Linked DNA regions of Daphnia pulex. The main gene of each other region encodes a partner of the protein of the gene in region 3 in a complex. Links are inferred from orthologs where the notes say so. Each region holds a gene or a part of one and is shown on either strand. Other genes may lie near its edges.

Region 1 (5,833 bases), on a different chromosome or scaffold from region 3:
GCAGAAGCAGACTGCTTGTTCCTTGATGCAACAATGCCAATTATTTGTGTGTGCTTCAATGAGCGCCCGAGCGGTCTAGTAGCGGGCAAAACTCGCAAGAGGCGAAATCGAAATGTCATTTATAATCGAAGAAAAGAACATCTTCAAATTATAAGTTGTATAATTAATTGATGACATTTTTTTAAATTGTTTGAAACTGAATGATTGAGATGAAGAATTCTTTTTTTGCTGATAACATGTTTCACGGCGCGTAAATTGAAAAGAAGACGGATTATAAATCAGTAAGTAAACAGACACTACGCATAGATTTAAAAAATAGTTAGTTGTATCTAAATCATGTCGCGGTATTCTTATACGCCTATAGACGATCCGGATTTAAGTAAATAAATAGACGTCGTTATTTTTTAAGAAGAAAAAGTTGAACCAACCGAGAACATTAAATAAGAAATAAAAACAAATTCTCGTTCAGCTTCGGGTTAGATTTTTTCTGCTTCGCGGTTAAAAAAGGATGTATCACTAGATGCACAATTTTAATACATCTTCTTCAGTTCAAGTTTAATCGTAATTAAAAAAATATTACTAGATATGTAATTAGCAAATTTTATTGTTTGTATACTTTCAACCAAAATTCAAGGAGATGTCTCGCAATTTAGGCATACCAACGGCCCACGCAAACAGCGCCTTTCAATTGTAAGGTATCGCCCGAAGGATTATCACCACTTATTAGTTAGTTATTTGAGAAAAACATCTCAAATAACTTAAACTCATATTTCCAAGAGCCGATCAGCATCAACCAAAACTTCGTTGGTAGATTTGCCTAAGTGCGAAGAATTGAAACGTGAGAATGGCAACCTTTTCTGTTTATCATTTAAAGTATAACTTACAGTTGCTATGTACGGTATGTCCCACTATGCAGTCTTTTAAATCGCAACTATTCTCAATTACCGAATTATCCATCAGAATGCTGCCTTGAAGAGTTGTTCTAAAAAGAAGACAATTCATATACGTTGTAGCAGAAAAATAAATAATCTCATCTTACTCTTTCATGATCGTAACGTTATCCATGATGATACAATTGGTAATCCTAACTTTTTCTCCAATATTGCAACCTTGACCAATAACCGAATGCTTAATAGAGCACTTGTCCGATAACTGACTCGTTTCACCAATAAGGCAATCAGTTCCCACCTATATTATAAAAAATGTTATAATGTTTATCCAACATTTAAAAGTTATAAGGGTCTTCGTTACTTGTGCTTTGGATACGGGTGGTGTGATTTCCTCATCAGGAAACATTGTATTCCATCTTTTAATAACCTAAATTTCATTTTAAATAATAATAATATCGTCGATCGATTCTAGTTAACAATTTCTTTCTTTACTTGTCGGTTGAGCTCACAATAGTTGCTCAGCGAGTTTGCACGTAGACAAAAGCCTTCCTTGGCCACATAAGCGAAACAGCGGATATTATGGTCTTGGTACGGGCCACGCAAATCACCACGATGATCATTCCAAACAGAGTAGCTCCTGATTTTCTCTTCCTCTTCGACATCAACAAGGAAGCTGCAAATATCTTTACAAAAAAAGAAATTATAATACTATTTAGACTTTAGACGTAGAGATTTCAAATTCTATTTATAGTGCCTCGATTTGTAGTATTTAAAGAAACGACCGAGACATCCGCATTGGGGAGTTCTTTTTCGTTTTTTTTCCTTTGAGTTTTTATAAACTGTTTTCGCACAAGATGAGGCAAGACCTCACCCTTCAGCATAGTGAATGACCTATGTTAAAAAATTGTTTGTTTTTATGATTTATCCATTAACGCGTAATATATTTAAATAACGGTGTGACTTACCGGTTTTCGGCAATGTAATCACAGACCCATTTCTTAATAACGTAGAGATGAGCGTCAAGCAAGTTACCTTGAACACTTATCTGTGGGAAATGTTTCATCACTGATTTTCGGATTGAGAGTTCCTCCTCGTTTTCTGAAGTCAAATCTGCTTCTGAGACTAAGAAAACCAGACGAGGTGTTTGCAGATCCAATCCAACCAAGTCCCTTTCTAAAATTTTAAGGGAAGTTTTATATTATTATTTGATGAATATACTATCATACATTTTTTGTTATTAAAAGTAATCTAGTGAATGCTGAAAGATATACCTTGCTTGAATTTTGTTTTGGGACCAGGCACTGCAGTTGACATTACTTCTGGAGAGGACTGGCTAAAAAGTGCAGTCACACTTGATTGATGAGTTCTGTGTAAGTCAAACACATTGTGCAATGGTATATCACATACCAAGTCACAACTAATGACCAGGACATCAGTCTGCAATTCGATTGGATTTAAAGGTATAGTATATGTGATAAAAATCTTGCATTATTAAAGATTTATACCTTGATTCGGTCTTTGACTAGTCTAAGAGAATCAGCTGTTCCAAAGTCTTCATTTTTTGGAAGACATGCTATATCCAGTTTGATGTTCAAACCATACTTGCTTGGAATAGCTGCAACTTCAGCTCGAAACTGTTCATGGATAACAACTATGACATCTAAAAAGTAGTCCTTGTCACATAAAAGTAACTTTATTCAAAACAAAAACTGAAATACCTTCAAAACCAGCATTTTCCAACATTTTTAATGAAAACCATATCATTGGTCTGTTGCATATTGGTAATAGACACTTGGGACGGTCATGAGTTAAATCTGTCATACGTGAACCCCTTCCAGCAGCCATTATTACTGCTTGGTACTCCATGATTAAAGAACACTAGAATACAAATATAAACTAATAAATAGCAAACATAGAGAGAATTAGAAAATAAAAGGATGATGCGTTTTGTATCTGTTAGCACATGGAAAGGTAACACAAACGGTGTTACAGAAACGCACAACACAAACATTTCTAACTAAAAAAAATCGAACCAAACGGAAAGTATGTACGGGTACCTTAATTTAATGAATCGTAATAAAATAATAGCAGATATTTAACCTCACGGTAGACAAAATTAAACACGTTTCGTAAACAGCTGTAAACAGCAAAACACTAAAACACTAGCTCAAATTCTCAAAATGCAGTGGGTAAAATGCGGGCACGATGCGGGTTTGAGGCGGTTTGGCCAAAATCGTGGAAACACCTCCATGGAAAGCTTAACTCCGCCCACAAAGAGGGAGGAGCCAATTTGCAATTATTCACGGTTTATTATCCTTTTTTCAGGATCCTGCGACTTATTACTTATTAGACTTGCTTGAATTACCAACAAATAAGCTCCTCCTCCTTCTACTCCGATAAAATATACAAATTTTAAGCCACGATTTATTTTTGTCGATATCTAAAAATGTGTTAAGTAAGATCAGAAATAACGAAACAAGACCCTTCCAGGTTCGCCCTCGGGTATTAACGTGCAAGATATCAGTTAAAAGCTTTTGCTTATATTTTCAAAACAATTAAAATGTAGGAATTTCGTAAGATTTTGTTTATTGTAATTTCCTGGATTTTTTTTCTTTATCATTTACGAAATAAATTTATTATTATTTTATCATTTATCATTTTACGAAATTCTTGAGTTAAACTCAGACAGTGGCCCAATTTCTCCATCACAAGGGCTGAGGTAAAAAGGCAACAGTTCAGGTTACAAGATCGAAGCCATATTTTAGGAAAAAAGTTTGAGGCAAGGCAACAATTCAGGGAAACAGATGGAGGCAACAATTCGAGAAAAAAGATGGAGGCAATTAGCTGCAGTCGATGTTTAAGGACGTCAAGTAATTAAGATCTTCAGACAATCAGTAAAAAAGGATTTGTTTACTGATTGTCTTTAAGCCACTCCCTCAGCTCCCTTTCATCAGGTATATCCGGGTTGATCTAAAGAGAATACACAAGAAAAAAAAATCCCGATGAAAAAAACTGCTGGAGAAATATTATTGAGTTTAAACTAACCATGATTACCGAATCATCGAAGGAGTCTAGGAATATTTCTCCACTATCGCGTGCGAATGCAGAAACCTTAACACCTCCAAATGCAACAATGGCGTTATCCAGGCTACTGAGCTGAAATAGCTTTAGCTTTGCGACTGAGTGCAGTACCCACGGCTGAAAAGTTCTTGTCCCTGCGAAAATAAATAACTTTAAAACTGTCGGAAGCAAAATTTGTCTGATTAAAAATTTCACCTCAAATCAGCGTAAAGCTCTTCGGCCGAGTTTAGAACAACAGATTTAACAGAGCTACCATCAGAGCGAGGTGACTGGCCCGCATTTGATGAGGCTTGAAAATTTTCTCCTGGAAGCTTGACTGTATCTAAATAACAATGAAACCACAAAATGCAAGTAAAATAATTGTTTTACTCAGAAGCTAACAATACTTTCTTACTATGTTTTATTCCATGGAATTCGTCGATAAGACCCTCATAGGTCAACTGAGTGACAACAGGAGTTATCAAATCTACAGTCCTATCAATGATCATGAGAGTGTCGAACAACGGAGACATGGGGGGATCACAGTCTACCCCAATATCACGTCGCATTCGAGTCATCAATTCGAATACGTTACGGGCATGGCGCCCCTTACCCACAACGTTGGGGAAAATGCCATATAAACTTTGGAGGGACATTAACCCATGAGCAATTTGGTGTAAGGAGCTGATTTCATTGTCAACATATAAATCCTGAGAATAAATTTGAAGAAATTGATGACAAGCAATCCCTTTCAAAGTTTGGCTCATAAATAAATACCTTGAAAACATTATCGAGTTCCATTGAAATGACATCACTATCTAGTGGGAAAAAATCAGCAGGCAGTTCATCAATAGAAGTAAGAGTTCCATACACTCCTTTGTCCTAAATGAAGTAATAATTTTGTCAACAATTTCTTCTTCGCTGATTTAAGTAACTTTAACCAACCTTGAGCCGCTGTTCACATACTGCACTTCGTCGGGAGACAAAAATTAACTGATATTCCTTACTAGCAGAATGTCCTTGGCTTTCTTCGCTGAAATGTAAATTAACTTATTGTTGACTATTTAAAGTTAAAATATGTAGATTATTCATACCTGTGCAAGTTATCGGCAATACAATCCATCAGCTCAACTTCAGGTCTTGTGATGAACAGCATATTTTTAACAGATATGGAAGGCAAGCGCCCAGGTTTTAACTGAAACATTTTTACAACATCTAGTTCCTTAAGAAAACTGTATTCTGCCACCAAACCAATGGGGCCAGTGAGTTGTTCATCCCAAAATATTGCCTAGCATAATTGATGAATTTACGTACATTTCTTAAATGGAATAGCACACACCAAAATACCTTTGTTCCACTGAACTTCTCTAAAAGAGAAACAATATCCTGTAACAATAACAAAACTGTTGACGAAATTTATTTTTACTGAACAAGACATCAACAGACTGTCAACAGACAACCTAATGGATTTTGTGGTTGTCCTAAGTCACAAAAAGCTAATGACTAAATCCGCATAAAATAAAATAAAATTTAGTATCACCAATGCTCATCTTCTCCTGTCCTTAACTTTCTTTCTGAAACAGACACGTGCACATCCAAATTTAGGTGAGGACGATACATATTCATGTCTAACTTCTAATCATTAGCCTAACAGTCAAAATAAAATTTATCGTGAGGCATTACAATTATGGTAAATTATTTCAGTGCTTACCATACATGATGACTACTCATCATATGGTATTTATATCAGTGAGTGACTCACAGAAATGGTTTAGTGCACTATGAAAATCAAGAAACCCATTTTATGGTCATTTTCCTGGGCGTCACAACAAAATCAATGAGTGACTCACAGAAATGGTTTAATACACTACCATGAAAATCAA
Region 2 (4,986 bases), on a different chromosome or scaffold from region 3:
TGTTCTCCGTGTCGCGCGCTGCCCAAAAAATTCTTTATGAACAAAATAGAAATAAAAGTTTTGAGCTTCGGTTCCGTACAATAGCGCTCTAGCTATTCGTATAAGTCAAACTTTCTCTCGCTGATTAGATTGCCGTTTTTTTTTTCACACTTGATTACTTCCTCTACTGATGAATTGCATGATTCTAAATTTCCCTTTAGCCCCAAACTTTTCTTCCTATACCCCCAATCAAAAAGGAATTGGAATACTACGCCGTCACATTTTTTTGCCGGGAACAAACACAACAAAAAATTTGGGTTTAATATTTGAAAAATTTCTATACATAATGGCAACAAATTATTTTGTTTGGGTTTGAACCAGCTATATAGGAGAAAGGGAAAAGGAAACTCCTATATAGTAGACGCATATTCTAAATAGACAACAAGCGTGCGGACAAGCAAACCTGAAAAGAAGGCACCCGTTTAGTTGGAAACGTGAATTTCTTCTCGTTTTTTTTGCTTTTCTCGGCTTTCCTCTGACGAGAAAGTTAACAACAACAAAAAAAGAAAAAGATATCAAATATCAGTTTCTTGATTGGGCTGATTTTTGCTTCGATTTTTTGGACATTTTCCCCTATAGAGTCAAATTTGATTCGGCACTCGCCAGCAAAAGGGAACAAAAGAAACCGGGCAACCAGAAAACTAGATCCCGAACAGTTTAGACTGTTTTTTATTTGCCGCCTTACCACCACACAAACAGCAGCAAAGATATAGGTCAAGATATTAAACTTTTTTTTTTCTTTTTTTGGCCGGAAAACATCAAAATCAATTTGATTCCGACTCCATTGTTGTTTATAAATAAACGGGCTTGCTCCCGGTACTTAGACACCATCGAGCGTCCCGTGATTAAATTATCGCTTTATTCAATCAATGGTCTTGTATCCGACGCCTACAGGTTTGTCTTTATTTACTTTAGCTGTCACATTATTTCGCCGGCGATGTATTGATTAAGACGTAGGCACCAGGGCCCACCAGAAACGAACAAAAATAAGTTTCCCGACAATGTCTAATTTCGCTGCTCCAAATGTAGTAGGATGTGAAAAACATTCTAAAGAGGCGACAGCGTAAGAAGCCCATCATTCATTTAAAATTGTGTCAAGAGTAATCGTGAAAAACAAGTCACAATATATACTGTACGTATACGACGGAATGAATATAAATGCAGGAGCGAAATCCAACTTGGAAGTGTTACCAAGTTGTTACCAAGTTGAAATTCAGATTTTTCCTCTTTCACGACGAGGGGTTTTATGGCATTTTTCCATGTGGGATGATTCGGGTTTTATTTCCATTGTCTTTTTACCCACAGGTTCAGGTCAGATCTTCCCATTGTCTTTCTTCGTGTGTTCGCTGATCCAAGTTTTGTATATAGTTAAGCAGCACCTCTTGACAGCGTGTGGCCGCCCATTTTTACCGAGAAAGGTAGTGGTGCTGTTAGGTGAAAGCTCCCTCACCAAAAATTTTACTTCGACCTAATCAAAACTTGGCCGTAAATTGTTACGACGATCTTTGACGTAATATTATTATGTGGTTGATTCCAACGCCCCGGATACATATCAAAGTAAGACCCAAAAACATTAAACGTTAACGCGAAATCACTCTGAATTTATGGATGACATTTTGTCTTGACGTAGAGTGTACACTTGCACATTTTACGCAATCGGGATTGGCTATCGTTTTAGATTGGGTATTAAGGCAGTGCTGATTGTAATCGCACCAATAATCTTATTGGTTGAATTATCATAGATAACACAAATTTAAAGGTGTGCGCAACGACAATAAAAGATAACGAGTAAAAGCATAAAAGATGACGAATTTATCTACTTATCTTACACTCACTCTGTTATCAAACCAACCATAACCAGGGGTATGGTAGGGCCTATAGAGATATGGATATGCCATAAGCCCAGGCATAACCAACCATAACGAACCAGATCGCTTTTTCAGAGGCTTTCTTCGAAAGATGATGTACGTATTTGAGCGATCGGGCACTCGCGCAGTAGCAGTTGCAGTTGCAGACGAACTTTGTAAATAAACAATACGCTGCAAAATTCTCGTTTTCTCCAGTGAACTACTTCACTTTATTATCTGTCTTTAAACCAGTTATTTCAGAATAAATTATAGAAAATCAGTGTGAAAATGCCGAGTCTTGAAAGTGAAATTGAAGGTATAATTGAAACTTTCACCAACAATCTTAAGCAAAGGTATGATTGTTATAGGCCATAGAAGTAATGCTGGCTATTCCATCTCGTTATTGACATTCTGTGTTTCTTTTTATTCGTAGAAAGTTCAAAGGATCGAGAGACTTGGCCCTTAATTCCGTACAGCTTTGGAAAAAAATCATTGGTCAAATGAAATGGCAGAATGCAAGGTTTGTTAGTTTATCTCAAGTCCAGAATTCCTGTTCCAGTTATTAAGTGATTCAATTCAATCTGTAGGGAGCTTATGGACACCATAAAAAGAATAGGTAAAGATTTGGCAGAGACTGCACCTTCAGAAACAGTCATTGGCAACATGACAAGAAGAATGTTAAAGATTGTCAGGGATGAGTATGCCATGCTGCAGAAAGGAAAACAAGAAGAATCTGATTTGCAAGACTCACTTCAAAAAATTCTCACAGCAGATGAAAGTGATTCTGATTACACTAAAAACATCCCCTTGCTCAAACCAGCCATCATGGAGCACATTGGAGAGTTCCTTGCCGAATTAGAATCCAGGTTTGAGAATTTACCACATGTCTAGCTTCACAGCCTATTCAACTACCTTAATTTGTTTCCACAGTGAAATCGACATTTCCGCCCAGGCCCTAGAACACATTCACGCTAACGAAATCATCATGACTATTGGTTATTCTAAAACTGTCTCGGCGTTTCTGAAGTCAGCTGCGAAAAATCGTGTTTTCCAGGTCATCGTTGCTGAATGTGCTCCATTTTTCCACGTAGGCAGCGAATTTGAAAACGTTTATTTGCATAACACCTGTATATTTACTCCAGACTATTATTACAGGGACATCAATTGGCTGCAGATTTAGCCGAAGCTCGTATCTCTACTACCCTTATTCCGGATTCTGCCATTTTCGCAATGATGGCACGTGTGAATAAAGTAATCATCGGTACTCATTCTGTTATGGCCAACGGTGGTCTAAAAGCAGTGTGTGGCACTCATACCCTTGCACTGGCTGCAAAGCATTATTCGGTTCCGGTAATGGAATAAGTTTTGTAGGCCTACACTTTCAGCTAAAATAATTTATTTTTTATGATTTCAGTTCGTCGTATGTGCACCAATGTTTAAACTCTGTCCCGAATATGTCTGTAGCCTTGATCAAGATGGATTCAACCAGTTTGTGTCACCCGAGGAAGTATTGAACAACGACGAAGGCAAGCTCGTTTCCAAAGTGAACGTCTACAATCCAATTTTCGACTACGTACCTCCAGAGCTCGTCACACTCTTTATTTCAAATACGTAAGCGAATTATTTTTAAATAGTTTGAAGATAATGAAGAAGTATCTATTTTATAATCACACTTGTTTCTCTAGCGGAGGCAATGCACCGTCTTACATCTACCGACTCCTCAGTGAACTGTACCACCCTTTGGACGTGCAATTGTAATGTGGGAAAAAATGGCTTTGTATTAAAAAGGCCGAGATACATAAACACACAGCACTAAGAAAATTACGAACATGGAGTGAATTTTTGTTTCGTTTCAAAACTACAGTTGGGTTCTAAGTATTGGTCTTCTCTATCAGCAAGATTAAAAGAGTAAACACCAAAAGCACGAATCGATTGGTTAAAGCTTCATCAAGACACTGGATCGAAAGGAGAGAGTAAATTAAATAAGTAGTGAAGAGAACAGTCGATTCATCTTTCAGGTACGAGAAAGAGTTCTCAAAATAAAGTAGTGATGGAAATGGAGAAATATCATAATAAGCGAAAATAATACCGTTTTTCACTGAGCAATTACAAGGAAATGGAACAGCAGATTAGAAATTGACAGAATTGGAAGGATAGGTTATTGAGAGAGACAAAACTTTGGTGAATTCATTATGTTCATTTTCTTTTCAGCACTGCGAACTTGAAGAGGCCAGCTGCATCAAAGCAATCGCGCCAGTCCATTGTTTTTCGGCGTTTTGGAGTGCTCGCATTAAGGTGCTGTTATTGGGTTTATCTGGTGTGGACGTGTTTTTGGGTTGAAATACCCTGGGTGAAGCTATTATGACACTGGGTCGGTTCATGTTGGTAATGAGCTGTTCGTTGTTACTCGTAAGAGCTTCACGCAGCCAACGCCGCTTGGGTTTTTCGGGACGGACAGGTGTGTCAGGCAGCGCCAAAAATCCGCTGGAACCGTTAGCCGTTTCGTTCATGACGTTTTCGCGACTGGAATCCAAGGTACTGTTGAGGTGGCACTCCTGAAGCAAAGATTCATATCCGGATGATATGTCGCGGCGCGGTGTCGATTTAGTCGGACTAGTTATGATGGACTTGTTCTTGTTGTTGTTCGACCTCGGAGACCATTGAAGAGGAGTACAGCCAAACGAAGAAGGCTCTACAGCTTCGCAAAGTTTCCTGTAACAAAGCAAATGAATGTCAGATGCAATCCGAGAAAGACATTTGATAGTTTTAGTAACACTAACCGATAGAGGGGAATCGAATGGGTTTCATCACTAGTTGATTCCATTCCATAGTGCAGTGATTTGGCGATGCTGCCTTTGCTTCTACGGTGCTGTCTGTTGATGTTATTATCCTGATTCTGTTGTTCGTTTTCTTGTTGCGAGTCACTTGACCAGCAGGCTTTCTTTGTTCGACATTTCTTAATTCTAATACTAGAATCGGTATCGTCGTTGGTATCAGACAACTTGCCTGGTGTTTTTTCATCATTCCTCTTCCTGTAACTGAGAGTCAAACAGAAAATTATAATTAATTTGCATTCTTGAAAACCATATAAAATCAACAT
Region 3 (5,637 bases):
TAAAGACGATTGAATATTAACTAAATATTCCTTTTATTGTTTTCACAGTTTCGGAGGGAGTTTGAGTTCAGTTTAAGTTGTAAACAAAAACCCACAACAATTAATCGATAGTGGAAAAAACTCGATAATCGATATATTTCCTCGTGGCTTCTGCTTTTGCCAGAAGATTCTTGTCTTAACTTGCAGTCTTGCTCTTGCACCACAGTCCCTTGCAGAATTATTATTTAATTCGCTGATAAAGTTCATCTTCGTTCGCTCTATTCATTCTTTAAAATCTCAATTTGTAAGACTCTGTTAAAGTTCAAAATCTCATTCCCATAATGTCATTTTCGGTGATAAATGTCGTTCGAAACGTTTCACGCCATGCGTTACCGGCGTCCATGAGGTCTATCCTGTCGAAACCCATTACCAGGTCTTTGTGGTACATGTCTAATCCCACAAATCAATTTGTCCCAACAAAACTTTCTCCAGCATTCAAACATACTCCCCTGAGCCCTTCCTGCCCATGTGGAGAATGCAGAGGAGTTCATACAAGAGGTAATACATTTTAACCATTTCACGTCACATTTAAATACAGCATAATATATGTTGCATCATAGGGGACAAAGAGCTGATTGAGTTCCTCTCAGAGGAAATTGCTGCTGAGAAGAAGGGAATGAGCAAAGCCAGGCCTGTCGCTAACTTGGATGGATTTGATGTTAAACACAATGGTTCAGAGATAGTATTGTCTAAGAAATTTAATGATGAACAGTGAGTAAATCTTTATGGGACAATTCTAAATTGAAACTTGTGGCTTAATTTTATTCATTAAACAGAATTGAGATAACAGTTAACGTCAACCATTCTGTTGATGCTGACATCAGTGAGGAAGTTGACAACAAAGCTGACAATCCTCCCCAGGCTGAAATGAAATCAAAACCACACTTTGAAGTCAAACTAATGAAGGGAAATCAAGTAACCAGATTTGCCTGCAGTTACATTCAAGATGCAGGAGAGCCTGTTGAAGATGCCCCAAGTAAGTGTTAATTGTATTTGAATAGCCAACAATATAAATAACACTCGATTTTTTCAGATGACATTTTCACTATTGATGAACTTGCAGTATATGAGGACAAACATAATGATCAGACTTATGCTGTCGCTGGAGACATTCTTGATGGGGTATATTTTAAAGTCAACAATATTTTAACCAAATTAAACTGATATTTCACATTTTCGTTATAGTACATGTACGACCTTCTGATGAATCTGCTCGAAGAACGAGGAGTATCCAACGAATTTGCTGAAAAGCTGAGCGATCTAGCTACCAAGCGGGAACACCATCTATTTATTAATTTGTTAGAGAGCCTTCAGTCTTTTGTCCAAGGCAAATGAAAGGTTTAGAATAGTTTTGAGATGAAAAATAAAAAGCTATGTAGTCATTTTGTTTAAAATGCTGATTTATTATTTATGGTTTTCCAAAACAATGGTTATTTAGAACCATCAGGGGTCTTAAATTCATTTTCAGTCCCCATTACTTCTTTTTCTATTTCTTTAAGGTCAATATTCTGTTCCTGGATTGCTTTCTAAAACAGAAAAGAGTAGATAAACATCTATAAAAGACAGAAATGTTGGACCAAAATTAACTTACCCTAACACATTCACGATACACCTTAAAGAAAGGACCACATGAGTCTGTTGAATGATCCCCTCTTAAGAATTTTTCTGTGAACCATGTGTTGAAACATGCATCATAATTTTGCTTCAATTGGCTACAGGCTTCACTTACACTATTCATGGTACAAATTTAACCTAGAAAAATAAAAATACAATAATCAATTAACATACTTTAAGAGCTTTGTGTGTCCCACACTTGTACCTTTGAACTGTAGATGAAGATTGGGCAGGATAAGCAGAGATCATTAACAAATTAGAGCACTTTTCTTGATTGAAAATTTATTCAACACGGTTGTAATTTCAATTAAAACCGGTCCTCAAAACATATTATGTACTAGGTAGTTTACAGCATTATCAAATCATGTGTACTTTGATTCGATCGTCTGCTCCATTGAGATAGCCTAGCGGCGAAAGAAAGTAACTTTTGTAGCAGACAATATTTTGCATCATTTCTCATTACCATAATCCCATTCCCTTCCTGCAATTCCTTGAATTTGGACGAGCTCACATGTGGACACTATTTATTACAGCTGTTGTAAATTATAAGAAATACTTTTCTTTGCCACAAGAGAATTGAAATACTGAATTAAAGAATGAGCTCCAATAAAACTTCCAAATCAATGTCCAAGTCCGGTTCTGAAGTTCTTAAACAAGAAGATGTTGTTCTTGCTGTTCTAATCGCTGATAGTTTTTCAATACGCTTCGCACCTGTAACTGATTCAAAACCGAAGGTGAAGATCCTACAATTAGATTTTTTAACGTTGAGGACACATATAACTGTTTAACTATTATTACATCAGGCACTTCTTCCGCTGGTCAATAGGCCCATGATTGACTATGCCTTGGAATCTCTACTTCTTAGTGGAGTACAGAAAACCTTTGTTTACTGTGTTGCACATGCTGATCAAATTCGTCAGTACCTCAAAGAATCTAAATGGATGAGATCTGTGTCTCCTATGTCCATTGAAGTTATTTCTCAAAGCCCTGATGACTGTCGATCTCTTGGAGATTCCCTTCGAGACATAGATGGAAAGTCATTGATAAGAGGAGACTTTATATTGATGTCTGCTGATGTCATTTCTAATGTACAGCTCATACCCATATTAGAAGAGCACAGGTAAATTGTAACATCTCTATAAAGTTGTAATCAAATCCATATCAAGTTTTTATTTTGATTTCATGCACTCTTTAATAGAGAAAAGAGGAAAACTGATAAAGGGATTGTCATGACACACATTTTTAAGAAATCTTTCCCGGGTCATCGATCCCGTTCTGCAGAAGAAGAACTCGTCTTAGCCATCAATCCCACCAACGGTCGTATTCTCAATTACCAGCAAACAACAAACCTGAAGAAGCTCAGTTTTCCTTTGGTGAGTTTCTGCTTTCAGTGTTTCGAAACCAACGATTCTTATTGATTTTCATATCAAATCTACAGGAAATGTTTAAAGAGCACGGTCTTGTTGATTTGCGCTATGATTTGGTTGATACGCACATTTCTATTTGTTCTCCCGTGGTTTTGCCGCTTTTTTCCGACAATTTCGATTACCAAACGTGGGGAGATTTTGTCCGAGGTATTCTCATCAACGAAGAAATTCTTAATAATACCATCTACTACCATCAGTTGGAAGGATCATACGCGGCACATGTTTCGAACGTTCCCATGTATGATGCTGTGAGGTAAGGAACACTTTCCAACATTTTAAATTCTACTCATCAAGTAACGAAAATGTTTATTTTTACAGCAAAGATGTTATTCAACGATGGGCATTTCCGCTTGTTCCCGATTTGAATCGGAGTGAAACAACTCCTCGACACACTTTATCACGTCACAATGTTTACAAGCAGCCTGGTGTCACCTTGGCCAAGTACACAATAACCTTTTCTCTTTTTTATTTCCATGTTACCATGATAACACCCTATTTGCGAAATAGGGAAAGTGTTTTGGAAAGGGACGTGGCGGTAGGAGAAAACTCTAAAATAGGAGAACGCACATTCGTCACCCAGTCCGTCATTGGCAGCCGTTGCACAATCGGAAACGACGTGTACATCAATAATGCTTATATTTGGGACGATGTTAACATCAAGGTTAGACCCAGCGAAAATTTTATTTTTGATAAATAATCAAACAATTTGCTTTTAATTAGAACAACTGCCACATTGAAGTAGCTCTCATCGCCGATGGTGTTGTGTTAAATGAAGGAGTCAAAATCGGCCGAGGCTGTGTCATTGGACCCGGAGTAGTTTTAGCTGCCGGTACCAAAATCCCTGACAATACTCGCCTCATGGCCCATCCTCCCAAATGTGATAACGACTTTGAAACATCGGACGAAGAAGATGGTAATGCAAACTTGAATACGTATGTCTATTAATTTAAATATAGTTACATTGGTATTTTTGTTTCCCCTTTTAGATAAGGTAGCTAAACCGTTTAGTGCCGATAGTGTCGCTTACGTTTATCAACGACCCGTCGAAGAAGATTCCGATGCAGAGTCTTTGATTGATGAATTATGGGGCTTGGACATTGATGAAGATTCAGAAAGTGAAGAAGATGAAGACGAAGACGAAGCTGATAACGACGAAGATGAAGAACACGAAGAAGAAGTGGACGTGGGCGACCTGCCAGAGGATATGAATGCTAGATGTAAGTTGCCTATGTGAACCTAAAAAATTAATTTACTAATTTGTTGAATTTTTCTATAGCATTTTATAATGAAGTCTTGGAGAGTCTTCAAAGAGGCTACGAAGAAAAAATCAAGGGTGACAACTTGGTTCTTGAAATTAACTCGTCCAAATACGCTTATAACGTTACCATGAAAGAGGTGAACATGCTCGTTATCAAAGCTATGCTTTCGTTGCCATCCGTCATGACTAAGGTAAACTTTAACGGCGAATCTTTTTGTATTAGATGTTTGATTGAAATTTGGTTGGCTTTTACAGAAGGCCGCCACTGGCACCAACGAAGATTGGGTCGCTCTAAGGCCGATATTGCAGCACTTTCTTCCTGTCATGAGAAATTACTTGAAAAACAATCAGTCGATGTTGGATTCTCTCGAGGCTCTGGAAGAATTTGGAGTTCATAACTCCCATTTTGTGAAATCTATTTGTAAAGTTCTCCATTTTTTGTACGGCGAGGACGTGTTGAGTGAGGACGCAATTTTGGAGTGGTACACCAATCCACCGAACGATCCCAGTGCATTGAAAACTATCCGGAAAACTGTACGTCTTAATTTCTTGAAAAGTTGACTTGATCCTTGGCCTGTTATTAACTTGTTTGTGTTTTGAAACAGGTGGAACCATTTATTACATGGCTGGAAGAAGCGGAAGAGGAATCATCGGAGGAATCGGATTGATAAGTCGCACTTGAATTTGTCCTGGTTTCTGAGAGCTGTAACAAATATCGAATTTATTGAAGTATATCTTTTTTCACAATTTATATGTCACTACTTCACATTTACTTGGATAACCATTGAAAATTACAGGCGTTGGTCACATAAGTAATAAGTGTAATGGTGGCGTATTTAAGAGTAACCGATTCAGTTCATGTCGTGAAAGAAACCAATTTTGAAAATCCTTTCGTAGTTCCAAATGGGTTAAATCGTAAAGAAAAAGGACGTACAAAATTATTTTAACGGATGCATTTATTTGAGAAATTTTGTGATTAACCGGTAAATGGAAATGCTCATCAAATGAAGACGTTGGAATGTGGGATGGAAAGAAAGCAATCCAAACCAAACGATTATCCATTTAAATCTTTTTCTTGTTTGCTGGTAAATTCATTCTCCAAATGGTGAAGGTGAGTAGCGAAGCGAAGCTCACCCAGACCAAGTAGGGCATCATCAAGTAAGAAGCCGTTTCGTTGACAGATTTAAAAGTGTAGACACAAGAAGCGATGCCGATAAGCAGAGCGATGACTTCGTAGAATGCCTGGAAATAGATAAGTCGGTAACAAAAACTAAAACTCTTTTTTTTTTAATACTTTTA

Evidence for each region.
Region 1: the proteins of translation initiation factor eIF-2B subunit epsilon-like (region 3) and translation initiation factor eIF-2B subunit gamma-like are in contact, whole or in part, in a cryo-EM structure (PDB 7VLK), measured with the Homo sapiens proteins. The link is inferred for Daphnia pulex from reciprocal best matches to the Homo sapiens genes EIF2B5 and EIF2B3. Residues at the interface, in NP_003898.2 of Homo sapiens: Pro190, Val202, Arg222, Arg223, Phe224, Ala225, Phe226, Pro227, Leu228, Phe231, Gln232, Ser234, Ser235, Asp236, Gly237, Val238, Glu239, Val240, Arg241, Tyr242, Asp243; in NP_065098.1 of Homo sapiens: Arg155, Phe157, Glu178, Glu179, Leu180, Val181, Ile182, Lys183, Gly184, Leu187, Gln188, Pro191, Arg192, Ile193, Arg194, Phe195, His196, Thr197, Gly198.
Region 2: the proteins of translation initiation factor eIF-2B subunit epsilon-like (region 3) and translation initiation factor eIF-2B subunit beta-like are in contact, whole or in part, in a cryo-EM structure (PDB 6O81), measured with the Homo sapiens proteins. The link is inferred for Daphnia pulex from reciprocal best matches to the Homo sapiens genes EIF2B5 and EIF2B2. Residues at the interface, in NP_003898.2 of Homo sapiens: Glu81, Thr84, Ala85, Thr115, Leu117, Lys186, Glu187, Ser188, Ser189, Ser191, His192, Pro193, Thr194, Leu245, Lys294, Glu295, Tyr296, Asp312, Arg315, Arg316, Trp317, Tyr319, Pro320, Ala325, Asn326, Asp329, Thr336, His337, His340, Asn341; in NP_055054.1 of Homo sapiens: Ser12, Glu13, Glu16, Glu20, Lys23, Arg24, Asp283, Lys287, Phe288, Val289, Ala290, Pro291, Glu292, Glu293, Leu295, Pro296, Phe297, Thr298, Gly300, Asp301, Leu303, Glu304, Val306, Ser307, His309.

Annotation. Positions count from the first base shown.
Region 1 is NC_060019.1:11,425,028-11,430,860, reverse strand, and holds translation initiation factor eIF-2B subunit gamma-like, read right to left. Parts: upstream 3,106-5,833; 5' UTR 2,991-3,105; exon of another isoform or gene 2,948-2,990; intron 2,787-2,947; exon of another isoform or gene 2,769-2,786; 5' UTR 2,757-2,768; coding exon 2,609-2,756; intron 2,551-2,608; coding exon 2,396-2,550; intron 2,328-2,395; coding exon 2,162-2,327; intron 2,064-2,161; coding exon 1,856-2,063; intron 1,782-1,855; coding exon 1,645-1,781; intron 1,574-1,644; coding exon 1,383-1,573; intron 1,318-1,382; coding exon 1,252-1,317; intron 1,189-1,251; coding exon 1,040-1,188; intron 983-1,039; coding exon 885-982; intron 818-884; coding exon 765-817; 3' UTR 587-764; downstream 1-586. Other genes in the region: vacuolar protein sorting-associated protein 33A-like, read right to left, coding at 4,039-4,105, 4,167-4,293, 4,366-4,660, 4,728-4,832, 4,896-4,983, 5,045-5,154. UniProt on the Homo sapiens protein: Acts as a component of the translation initiation factor 2B (eIF2B) complex, which catalyzes the exchange of GDP for GTP on the eukaryotic initiation factor 2 (eIF2) complex gamma subunit.
Region 2 is NC_060019.1:5,859,934-5,864,919, reverse strand, and holds translation initiation factor eIF-2B subunit beta-like, read left to right. Parts: upstream 1-2,034; 5' UTR 2,035-2,174; coding exon 2,175-2,239; intron 2,240-2,319; coding exon 2,320-2,406; intron 2,407-2,473; coding exon 2,474-2,752; intron 2,753-2,816; coding exon 2,817-2,973; intron 2,974-3,041; coding exon 3,042-3,236; intron 3,237-3,300; coding exon 3,301-3,497; intron 3,498-3,571; coding exon 3,572-3,644; 3' UTR 3,645-3,710; downstream 3,711-4,986. Other genes in the region: asparagine-rich zinc finger protein AZF1-like, read right to left, coding at 4,094-4,598, 4,667-4,924. UniProt on the Homo sapiens protein: Acts as a component of the translation initiation factor 2B (eIF2B) complex, which catalyzes the exchange of GDP for GTP on eukaryotic initiation factor 2 (eIF2) gamma subunit.
Region 3 is NC_060026.1:13,821,769-13,827,405, forward strand, and holds translation initiation factor eIF-2B subunit epsilon-like, read left to right. Parts: upstream 1-2,077; 5' UTR 2,078-2,249; coding exon 2,250-2,387; intron 2,388-2,456; coding exon 2,457-2,773; intron 2,774-2,851; coding exon 2,852-3,026; intron 3,027-3,091; coding exon 3,092-3,333; intron 3,334-3,398; coding exon 3,399-3,521; intron 3,522-3,587; coding exon 3,588-3,741; intron 3,742-3,800; coding exon 3,801-3,993; intron 3,994-4,066; coding exon 4,067-4,297; intron 4,298-4,356; coding exon 4,357-4,529; intron 4,530-4,593; coding exon 4,594-4,872; intron 4,873-4,943; coding exon 4,944-5,006; 3' UTR 5,007-5,089; downstream 5,090-5,637. Other genes in the region: complement component 1 Q subcomponent-binding protein, mitochondrial-like, read left to right, coding at 321-537, 600-750, 816-1,015, 1,073-1,161, 1,225-1,374; translocator protein-like, read right to left, coding at 5,401-5,580. UniProt on the Homo sapiens protein: Acts as a component of the translation initiation factor 2B (eIF2B) complex, which catalyzes the exchange of GDP for GTP on eukaryotic initiation factor 2 (eIF2) gamma subunit.